3 linked regions of the Xenopus tropicalis genome follow. The protein of the gene in region 2 purifies or fractionates together with the protein of the main gene of each other region. This does not show direct contact. Links are inferred from orthologs where the notes say so. Each region holds a gene or a part of one and is shown on either strand. Other genes may lie near its edges.

The links. The genes of interacting proteins can lie anywhere in the genome.
Region 1: the proteins of otub1 (region 2) and ube2e3 purify together in Homo sapiens (affinity purification with mass spectrometry; 3 studies listed by BioGRID and IntAct, counting the BioPlex papers as one, with this or other methods). This does not show direct contact. The link is inferred for Xenopus tropicalis from reciprocal best matches to the Homo sapiens genes OTUB1 and UBE2E3.
Region 3: the proteins of otub1 (region 2) and slc7a11 purify together in Homo sapiens (affinity purification with western blotting; 5 studies listed by BioGRID, with this or other methods). This does not show direct contact. The link is inferred for Xenopus tropicalis from reciprocal best matches to the Homo sapiens genes OTUB1 and SLC7A11.

Annotation. Positions count from the first base shown.
Region 1 is NC_030685.2:62,838,480-62,841,979, forward strand, and holds part of ube2e3 (ubiquitin-conjugating enzyme E2 E3), read right to left. Parts: intron 523-3,500; coding exon 390-522; intron 1-389. UniProt on the Homo sapiens protein: Accepts ubiquitin from the E1 complex and catalyzes its covalent attachment to other proteins. In vitro catalyzes 'Lys-11'- and 'Lys-48'-, as well as 'Lys-63'-linked polyubiquitination.
Region 2 is NC_030680.2:36,046,273-36,050,222, forward strand, and holds the start of otub1 (ubiquitin thioesterase OTUB1), read right to left. Parts: upstream 2,801-3,950; 5' UTR 2,730-2,800; coding exon 2,684-2,729; intron 1-2,683. UniProt on the Homo sapiens protein: Hydrolase that can specifically remove 'Lys-48'-linked conjugated ubiquitin from proteins and plays an important regulatory role at the level of protein turnover by preventing degradation.
Region 3 is NC_030677.2:61,844,422-61,847,921, reverse strand, and holds part of slc7a11 (cystine/glutamate transporter), read right to left. Parts: intron 3,356-3,500; coding exon 3,232-3,355; intron 1,706-3,231; coding exon 1,602-1,705; intron 590-1,601; coding exon 493-589; intron 1-492. UniProt on the Homo sapiens protein: Heterodimer with SLC3A2, that functions as an antiporter by mediating the exchange of extracellular anionic L-cystine and intracellular L-glutamate across the cellular plasma membrane.

The DNA of each region.
Region 1 (3,500 bases), on a different chromosome or scaffold from region 2:
CTTCTTTTGCATAACATTTTAGTGCAATTTCCTTGGGGGAATTGAATGTTTGAGAAAAATAGATTTTTTTCCCCTTCATTTCAGAGACACATATAAGCTTAATATTCCTGAATTATGGATCTAAATACAAAAACATAATATTTTAATATAACAATAGAATGTAAACATTATTAAATAAACATGAAAATACAACTAATCTTGAAAACCCCTTTACCCACCAGAACAACAATATCAATATTATAGTATTATGGAGATTTCTGATTTGCAAAAACCAACAGCAGTATTAAAAAAAAAAAAAAAAAAAAAAGCATTCCCTATGACAGCAATCTAGATACCTAATGCCCAACCTGCTGATGTAAATCAATACATTCCAGATATATTTCCCTTACCTTTGGTGGCTTAAAGGGATAATCAGATGAAAATGTGATATCCAAGAAAAATACACCCCCCTCATATACTGATCCTGGAGGTCCAAGAATCGTAGATCTCCATTCATAAATATTGTCCCCCTTTGGTCCAGCGCTGTTAAAAAAAATAAAACAGCAGGAGTAATGGATATTACAGATCCCAGTTTAAGCCAAACATTTAGAAAAACAAAAACACCTACGCTAGCTAGCTCAGTTGGAATAACTAGCTTAGCCATACTTTCATTAAAAGACAGAAATTTGATTAATGTGGAATTCTATTTCTGTGAATTTTTATGGAATTCCATGAATTTAATCTAATCTCAATGGAAATAAAAAGGAAACAAAGAGAAAGAACATCAAGAAAAAACAAACAAGGATGACACATTTACATTTTTTTTTTTTAGAAATACCTGTACAAATATAATGAGAAAAAATGTATATCACCAGAATGTAATTGATCATAGAATTCTGCAGCCACATATGGGAAAAAGGTATTAGGGTTTAGTATAGTTACACAAGGCATGGAACTATATAATAATAAAAAAAAAAAAAACAGTAGCAAAAATATAAACAAATTATGAATTCTGTCAGTGATCCCCAACCAGTGGCTCGGGGGCAACATGTTGCTCAGCGCCGCCTTTGTTGTTGCTCCCAGTGGCCGCAAAGTAGGTGCCCACTTTTACATTTCTGGCTTGGAGACAAGTTTTGTAAAGGCAAACACGTGGATTTACTGCAAGCAGAGCCTCCTGCAGGCCACATGGGGCTACCAAGTAGCCAATCACAGTGCTTATTTGGCACCCCCAAGGAACTTTTTTCATAATTGTGTGAACTTTTTACATCTGAGTGTGGCTTATGAGTAAAAAAAAAAAGGTTGGGGATCCCTGAATTATGTATTCCATCTTTCAAGAATGATTGATGCTTTGGTCCCTGCAATGGGCCCAATTGCGTGCAATATAAAAACACTACTCTAGTACTCATTTGGGAAGTTGACAGTGACTTTCATCCCTACAAATGTTCGTTTCACTGTACTGCTCATTTCCAGTCAGAAAAATAGATCAATTAATTTTTCATAATGTTTATGTATTTAAAAAAGTGTGCATCATAGCTTTTTTATTAATATTGAATGCACAGGATATCTTTCCTGTCCCTCCTCTCATTACTTATACCTTTAAAAGGAACAAAACATGAGAAATAATGGGATGAAGGGATAAAATCTATCTCCCTGGTGTTAACGTGAGCCACAGTAATTGCCTATTAAAGCAGTCTAACTTAAGGGCACAATAATTCTCTATGAATTATTTTTATGAACAACATTTCAAGTACAAATTACTAAATTATTTCCCCTGGGTTAAATATTACAATCTACATTTTCATACTTATTACTTACGCCATCATTAAAAAAAAAAAAAAAATTATTTCAGTTTTTCCTGTCCACTAATCTGGTGGAAAAACCTCAAGGATTACACTCTTCAAAAGCTAATGTCAACGATACCATAAAACAGTGAGCAATACCAAACAGAGTAGCGCTCTAAATGAAAATTATGCATTCTGAAATTGGTAGTCAGCAGGCGAAAATGATGGAATATCAATCAAGCCCCTAAAACAGAGGAAACTCTTTCTATTCCTCCAGCTTCATTCTATTTCATACAATTAAAACAGAACTTAAAAATATCTAACAAAATAAAAAGGCCAAACCATCCACTTAACCTGGAACACTTGAAAAATTAGTATAGGAAGAAATTCAAATGATTTCTTCCTCCACTTTTAGGTTTCCAATTAAATGGATGATCTGTTGATTGCCCATTAATTACCAATACGTATGCCCCAGCGCAGATGAATAATTAGATTCAGGTATGTATTGCACTGCTGGATAAACTCTGTACAGTCTGCACTGAGCACAAGTGCCGATTAAAGATCATTCATCAACAGATTAATGAAGGTTCCAGTCACAACAGTTGCTGATTTAATTATTAGGGTTTTGTATGAAATATACTCAGATATTTTTTACATGTACCCTAAGCAAGTAACTACATTTATGAAGCCAGAGCTGCACATGCAAAAACATGGGGAACAGAAATCAGAGAGGGGTGGGATGAGAAATGTCATAAGGCACTTCATTTAAATGGTAGTGAAAATGGATAATGATCATAATCAATTATATAGTACCAAGCTAAACAGCTGGGATTAGAGAGTCATGTTCTGAAAATCTGAACGCAACACCAAAGTGGAACAAATAAATTCCATTATGTTACACAGGGAGCAAGTATTAGAGGATAGTTAAAAACACAAGTCGCCAAGAGTTCCACTGGGCTCAACAGAATGACACCATAACTAATACTTGTCTAAACGAACTGCACTTCAGAAACTCATACAAAATGTAGACAATCCCTGAATTCTTGTGAGCAAACTGCTTTCTGTATGGCTAATTTATTTCCTGTTATTTATATAGTGCTAGCAAATGGGCCCTCTTGGCCCTATTCTACCACATAAAAAGAGAAAATAAAACAAACAAAACCCCTAAAAAAAACCCAAAACACCCCCACCCACAGGCATGCAGCTGGCATATTAAGTTTGCCCAATGAGCTATGTTTCAGATTAAGGTTAAGTATCTGGCTCACACGATGACAAACACAGATAATTCAGACAAAGTATCAAGCATACTGAACAGGCTTGCATGTATAGATCTGACTTCACCTTTATTATACAACAATTTTAAGTTACATAGTTACATAGTTACATAGGGTTGAAAAAAGACCATTGTCCATCAAGTTCAACCCATCCGAGTAAACCCAGCACACAACCTATACTAACCAAACTATACACTCACATACATAAACTATATATATACAACCAGTAATACTAACTGTAGATATTAGTATCACAATAGCCTTGGATATTCTGCTTGTTCAAAAACTCATCCAGGCCCCTCTTAAAGGCATTAACAGAGTCTGCCATTACCACATCACTAGGAAGGGCATTCCACAGCCTCACTGCCCTCACCGTGAAAAACCACCTACGCTGCTTCAAATGGAAGCTCTGTTCCTCTAATCTATAGGGGTGACCTCTGGTGCGCTGATTGTTTTTATGGGAAAA
Region 2 (3,950 bases):
AATCCTAAATAAAAACTTTATAAAAACTTTAATTTATAAAAAAAAATCTTGAGGCAAGAGTTTTATTAATATTTGTAACTTCCTCTTCAGGCACTCTCCTTTTCATCTTGCAGTCTGCAAATCACTGCTCGCTGCTAGTATAAGCATGACCCTAGCAACCAGATCATTTAAATCCCAAACTGTAGAGGTATGGAACAAAATGTTAAATAGTTTGCAAACCAGAAAGAATTAAAGCTTCAGTTGCAAGATGTCTGAGAACAGACTGGTGCTTTATATTGGGCCCTGTGAGGGGCTCTTTGTGCCCTGGAACTGTAGGGCCTAAGCCCAGGCATGGTGGGCAGAAATAAATTCCAGGGTAAAAAAAAAAAAAAACAAATCCACAAAGAATGAAAAGATGAAGACAAAATGTAAATTGTGTCAGAATACCACTGTAAACAAAAAGTTAATCTGATGGTGAACTACCCAATGAAGGGTGATATAACACTGGGCAAATTGTGGTAAATTGCATTCATCGTTAGGTAACAAAGTGTCCTTAAAAAATACCATTTCCACAAACAAGAATTAGCGCAGGTAAAACATATATATTGTGTAATCAGCCAAAGTGCATAAGGGGGCAATTTCATGTGGTTACGCATTTCATATCACCCATGGTGATGAAGGGTGCTCCTTGCCTCAGGAGGCTGCGCCCAGTAGGTTACCAGGGGCTTATTAAGTTTCTCTGATGCTAAAAGGGTGTGTGGGGAGGAGGTGAGGGAGGCTACATTGGGAAGGCAGCCTCAGAGTGACATTGGTCCCAAATTTGCCCCTGACAGTGATTCTTGCTGTTACCAAATGCAATTTATTTTAGGTGCTTTGTTGTCTGTGAGAGAGGCGATTTCACATGGACTATAAAGTATACAGTGTGCCATTACCCTAAGGCAGGGGGGAGCAAACTACGCCCGCGGGCCACATTCGGCCCATTGGTCTTTTTAATCCGGCCCGCTGACTCCACAAGTCTTGTCATGAGAGACTTGGTGTCAAAGGACTGACGAGCGGAAATGGCGTAACGCTGGCTCGGCCTGTCTGTAAGTCAATGTGGCCCCTGAGCCGAGAAGTTTGCCCACCCCTGCCCTAAGGGCAACGATACATGGGGAGATTTTGAAAAAAGCCTGATCATGGTGACAAATCGCCAAAGTTCCCTTTCCACAAGGTCCAAGTAGCCACTGGACTCTTTTTGAGCGAGTAGCCACTATACATGGCAACTTGTATATATGTGCGTGTAACGGGAAGTGTGGTAAAAATCATGGCAACTAATCTCTCCATGTGTCACTGCCCTTAAGGAGAACCAACCAAAAATAAGCAGGGAATGCTGGTTTGTTGTAACTGAATTCCCCAACCCAGTGATATTCTTTGAAAAAAAAATATTACCATCTAGGGTACCCTTGTGCTTCTGCACAAAATATGGTCGAACACGCTGCACGATTATACTTACCGAGAGGCGCCTAACAAATCAGCATCCCTAGGAATTCTTTTGCCTCGCCCACCTTTATGATTATTGTATTGGACATGGGGGATAGAGAGTTGTCAACCTGACATCTAGGCTTTCCAGGGGAACAGAAAATGTTCCCCCATACCTGGAAGTGACATAATGGACGTCACGCAGGCCTCTCGAAGCGACGGCATGCGCAAAATCGCTGCTGAAGCTGAAAAATTCCCCCACAGACGCACAAATGCATCAACTTACGTCACTGAACGCTTACTATACATGCATGCATCAAATTCACTTCAGGACTTCGGCAAAAATGGAAAAACACTGCTGGGGGACTGGAGAAATCGTCTGACTCCCAAAGAAGTGGTGGAGGGGGGGGCTTGACAGCTCTGGTGATAGCAGCAGATGTGTCTGTCACAGTGGTACCTCCATTCTTGGTGCATTTAATAAAAAATATATATAGATTGAGATGACAATTAACTTAATCAGCTCCAGGGAGAGAATGCATGATATCAGATCTGATATCTCCTTCCTTAAATAAACAAAGCCCTGTAAAGACGTACAGAGCAGATAGCTTTAATGCAAGCGGGCTGTGCATTTCCATATGAATCCCATGGCCCCTGTGTGTGCCCCTGTATATGGCCCCTGTGTGTGCCCCTGTATATGGCCCCTGTGTGTGCCCCTGTATATGGCCCCTGTATATGGCCCCTGTGTGTGTGCCCCTGTGTATGTCCATATGTCCCTGTGTATGGCCCCTGTGTGTGTCCCTGTATGTGTGTCCCTGTATATGGCCCCTGTGTGTGCCCCTGTGTATGGCCCCTGTGTGTGTCCCTGTATGTGTGTCCCTGTATATGGTCCCTGTATATGGTCCCTGTGTGTGCCCCTGTGTATGGCCCCTGTGTGTGTCCCTGTATATGGCCCCTGTATATGGCCCCTGTGTGTGTGCCCCTGTATGTGCCCCTGTGTATGGTCCCTGTATATGGCCCCTGTGTATGGTCCCTGTATATGGCCCCTGTGTATGGTCCCTGTATGTGTCCCTGTATATGGCCCCTGTGTGTGTCCCTGTGTATGGCCCCTGTATGTGCCCCTGTATGTGCCCCTGTGTGTGCCCCTGCAGCCTGTACCCGCACCTCTCTCCTCCCTCCCACTCCCCGTTATACTGTGAGAAGCCGATAGGAACACGCAGGTACACCCCGCAGCCACTAACTCTCTCACCGTCACAATCACTTTGCTGCTGCCGCTCAGATTCTTCCGCCGCCATATTTCCAACCGACCGCCGCCACTCCAATCACTTCCGGGAGACTACAAACCGGAAGTCCCTCCCTAATTTCATAGCACAGCGCCGGATGAGACGGTTCCTATAGTAACTGTTCGCTAGTTTATAGTAGAATAAAGCGCTCAGCCAGGCGATACTAAGCAGGCTGTATTAAGCACGAGATAGTTGAATACCTTTAGTGCTATGTATACTTCATTGGTTATATGTGGTGCTAGACTAGTCTCCTGTAATACTCACTGAGCTTTCTATGTCACCAAGTGTTCCTTACTTTAAAGGGGAACGTCAGCTTCCGAACTAAGATTTGTTAGAGAGCCCCACACAACACACAAAATATAATATACCTATTACTGTAATCTGTTTCTTCAAAAAAGTATGACTAAATGCCATTTTTATATAATGAAATCCAGCTGCAAAACAATCTTCCCTTTCTGTATCATTTGAAAATCCTGCCAGGGGAAGAGGGACTAAAACACTGATGTTACAAATTGTAACATCACCACAGCTTACACATAGCATGCAGGAAATACATAACCCACAATGCATTGCACTTATTGATGTGTGCAGGGGATTGTGGGATTTGGAGCATGCAGGCTGAAGGAGGAGGACAGTCAGTTACTGTTATATTGGTTTGAGTAGTCAGATCAGCAAGTCAACAGGGGCCAGGCTTTGTTATAAACCACAATATTACATTAAAATCCTGTAACTGGTGGGAACCCTGGCTAACATTTATCAACAACTTTCATACACAAACCCGTTGACATAAGACCCTATAGAACCACTACTCTAAAAAACTAACAAGTCCCTGATGACATGTTTTATCTTTTATTTGCTTCTATTCTTTCTCAAATGTATTTAAAATTAAAAGTAATAACTTTTGTTACTCCTGACCTCACAACCTGTTTGTAAATGCAGATCATTTCAAATGTCCTTACCCTATTCCCTTCTTTTTTTCTGTACCCCATTTTCTCTGAAAAATCAAAAATAAAGAATATATAAAAAAAAAATCCTGTAACTGGTGCACGTTTTAATTGGTGTATATTGCAAAGTTCCTTGAAATTATCTTTACTTTTCAAAAAGCTTAAGTTGTGTTTGGGTGGTTTTCCCCTTTAAAGCACAGTCAGGTTTTTCCACTGTCAGTGGACTATTTAACTGGTGAAAACTACACAGAATTAGTCAATGAACTTGTGGAGCAAAGAAGGGTTGCTA
Region 3 (3,500 bases), on a different chromosome or scaffold from region 2:
TGTGTTTTATCATTTTCACTAATATCTGGTGTAATGTACAGTGCCCTCCCGCGAATAGCTTTCTCCTTTGCATCTTTGGAAAGTTGCCTTTTAAATAACACTGCTGTCTTATAAGGAACAGTGAAAACAAATGCAACTATTGTAAAGTGATTTTGTAGTAGAAATGTGCCTGTATGATACAAAGCACTTCAAATTGGAGCAGTGAGCGCTTGTGTGTTCAGCTATGATGTGCATGCTTTTGTTCAAATTATAGCTGTGACATGGACATGTACAGTCAATTAAATTATGAACACCTCATTATAGAGCAGCCTGTTCTCCTCTGTGAGCATCTGTGAAATTATTTTGATAATTGGAAAAATTATTTATCTTGGTGTAACGTGAAATAAATAAAAATAATGAGCCATGTAAATAGAACCTCTCTTCAGAACCTGCAAAAAAAGAAATGATTCCTATATGAGCACAATATGAATTCACAATAAATGTTTGGCTTACCAAAACAATGACAGCTGGCAATGGAGTATGTTTGCGCACATGAATCATAGAGAGAATTTCAGGAAGGTGACCCTCTCGGGACGCAACATAAAACATTCTGGTGGTGTAAAAAACATTGTGTTTCCAATGAGTTAGTGTTATCTATCATTGTTTAACTGGCACACACATGCAATTCATTTAATTAAATGCTGCAAACTACTAATTACAGCCCCATTTATCTAGTCATGACCTAATTATATCATACATACCATTGGTTACTAGTGCACACTCCCTTTCTGTTTCTTATATGGCAATTATAACACTATTAGAGCTGACAAATAAGTCAGCATGGGGTGAGGCTGAAAGGTGGTACTAACCTAAAGAAGTGCAACCTATATCTATGTGAGTAACCTGTTTCTGAAGTGGTTTTTCCCGTATTGATTTTTGCACTATACTGGCTATTGTGTGTGGCCCGTGTTATTTATGGGTAAGTCAGAAGAGTCTGATATCCTTATAAAACTTTTTTTGCAGTATGTTACTGTTAGATGCAAGGTTTGTGCCATTGTTTGTGAAATTAAAACAAGGAATATTAATAGAGATCATTTCCAAAGCCCCAGGGGTGTGCTATACTGTCCTTATTTGGCCTCTGCTTGCTGTTGACCCTTACCTTGGGCGTCTGCGCGGTTAAGGGGTGGGGCAGGCTATGTGCTACCCCCACCTGCTGATAGAGCCCAGAGGCCTGCAGCTATTTGCACAATTGCCAAAGTGCAAAAAACGTTGATTTGCGATTTTTATTGCACTTTGCACACTGCATGGGTCATTGTCAATGCCCCATAATGACATTCAGCTAATCAAGAAATAAAATGAGAATATGTGTTTATGTTGTGAGCCTTCTCAGTCATGGACTTGGTATCAGAACTTGATTTACATAAATATCAGGGTGAAGGACAAGTTCAACTGTAATGTAGCCCCCTATTCTAGCCCACAGCCAGCAAGGTATTCTTGTAAGCACACCCGTACCGTTATAGCTGTGCATAGAAACCAGTAAATGGTACCTACTGACAGTTCTTGAAGTTGCTACAGCTGGAGCAAAAACATTTTTTTTACCGTATCTAAGCAAAATGAGTTACCTGGAAACTGCAAAAACACCACCATTCATAGAGCCAAAGCAAGACAAAGCGACAAAGATTGGGACTGCAAGGGAAAAGCTCCCAAAGAGACGCTCAGCATACGTCTGCAAAATAGAATCATTATCAAACATCATTAATAATACATGATAAATAAAATTTCTAAAGCAACAATACTTATATACTAGAATAACTATACATTTTAAGGAAATTTTAGGGTCAAAGAAAAATTAAAAAGTCAAATTTTACTAGCATTACAGTGTCTGGTCTAACGCCCCAATGGTATTTGAGAAGATAATTATATGTGTTAAAAAGAGCATTTTTTAATCACTAAACTGTCTTTGCAGTACAGTATATTACAAAAGTTTGTTGGAAGAAAGTTGTTTTATGTTTGTTTGTTTTTTTTAAACACTACCATTAGAAAATACATTCTTTCTACCTTTTTCCCAATAAGGAAATTATTCTAAAATGCACATGATATCATGACCTGTCCTGTGACATGCAAGGAACAAATGTCTCATAGAACCTGGTTTAACAACATATGATGTATATTATTATACCCTGGATAACATATAACATTACAACAGAAATAATTCCTTGAATCTTTAGGGTGCCTTCTGATGGTCTGCCCTCCCAGTTGCCAGCTACATTCACAAGCCGGTTACACCTTGCTCAGTGTAGGTGCATGTCACTGTCCTTTATCAACTCCACTGCTATTAGCAGACAATTTCCAAGGTATCAAGCCCATAATGAAGCCCAAGCACAATTGAGCACCACTGGTCACCCACCATAGGGGTTACCCATAACTACTGATACCCTGACCACACCACAACACGCAGCAGACTGCCAGGGAACCTTCCAAAAGACCTGTGACTAAAGTGAATGGTGTGGGACTATCACTGCCACCCCAAAGCTAACTAAAACTATCTTTGGATTACTGTATCCCAGCCCTCAAGGCCACATGTGTAACAAATTACAAATTAATTAAAATAACAAACCACCTCCCCCAGCCTAAGGGAGGGCGGGTGGTAAACCTTTATCAGTTGGATAATGATGAAAGATTTCATCCATAACTATACCTAACCTAAGAGACCCCTTTCCCTCCTTTTCTGCTAATCCCAGTATCATACATACTACCCAATCCCCCAGTCATGCTGGCCTTCCTTCAAGGTTACACCAATATCCAGGCCTTACTAAAATGTATGGCTCCATACCGTAAAATTTTGAGAGGATTTAAAAAAAAAAAAAAAAAATCAAACCTAAAAAAAGAAACATGTCAGACGTATAGTTATCCTAAAGTTGGAGAGAAATATTTTGTGATAACATTTTTTACTTGCTCTACTTATTTAACTTTTTTTTAATATTAAGGTTTATATTAAATATTACTCATTCATTGAAAAGCAATTGAAGGTATGTCATAAAAATGTAATCTGATTTCCAAGGCAATAGACCAAATAGGTAGTTAAGCTTTTAAACTGATTGAGAGATTACACTTATAATAATATCCTTACTGTTCTTGTGATCACTGCTTATATTTCTGAGCCCAGCATACCATATCAATCTCCCAAATCAAATTATTTTAGAGAAAAATTGAAAGAGCAACTGTGACCAAGTTAACTCTTATCTTTCTTACCACAGCAACAGCACTGGAGAGAACTAGTTCTTCTGCACTTATTGTTGTGTAGTATGCCACATTGGTTAAGACATAGCCAACTGTAACAATGGCCATTGAGATGCATATAGCAAGAGGCACGTTTCTGAAAGAGAAAAAGTCACTAGTGAAATATTTTTATGAAGTTTTCAAACATATCTTTAATATATGCTTAATATCTTTAATAAGTAATTGAGGATGTTGATATGTGTCCAAGTGAAACAACAAACCATTACAGGGTTGATTCAAAA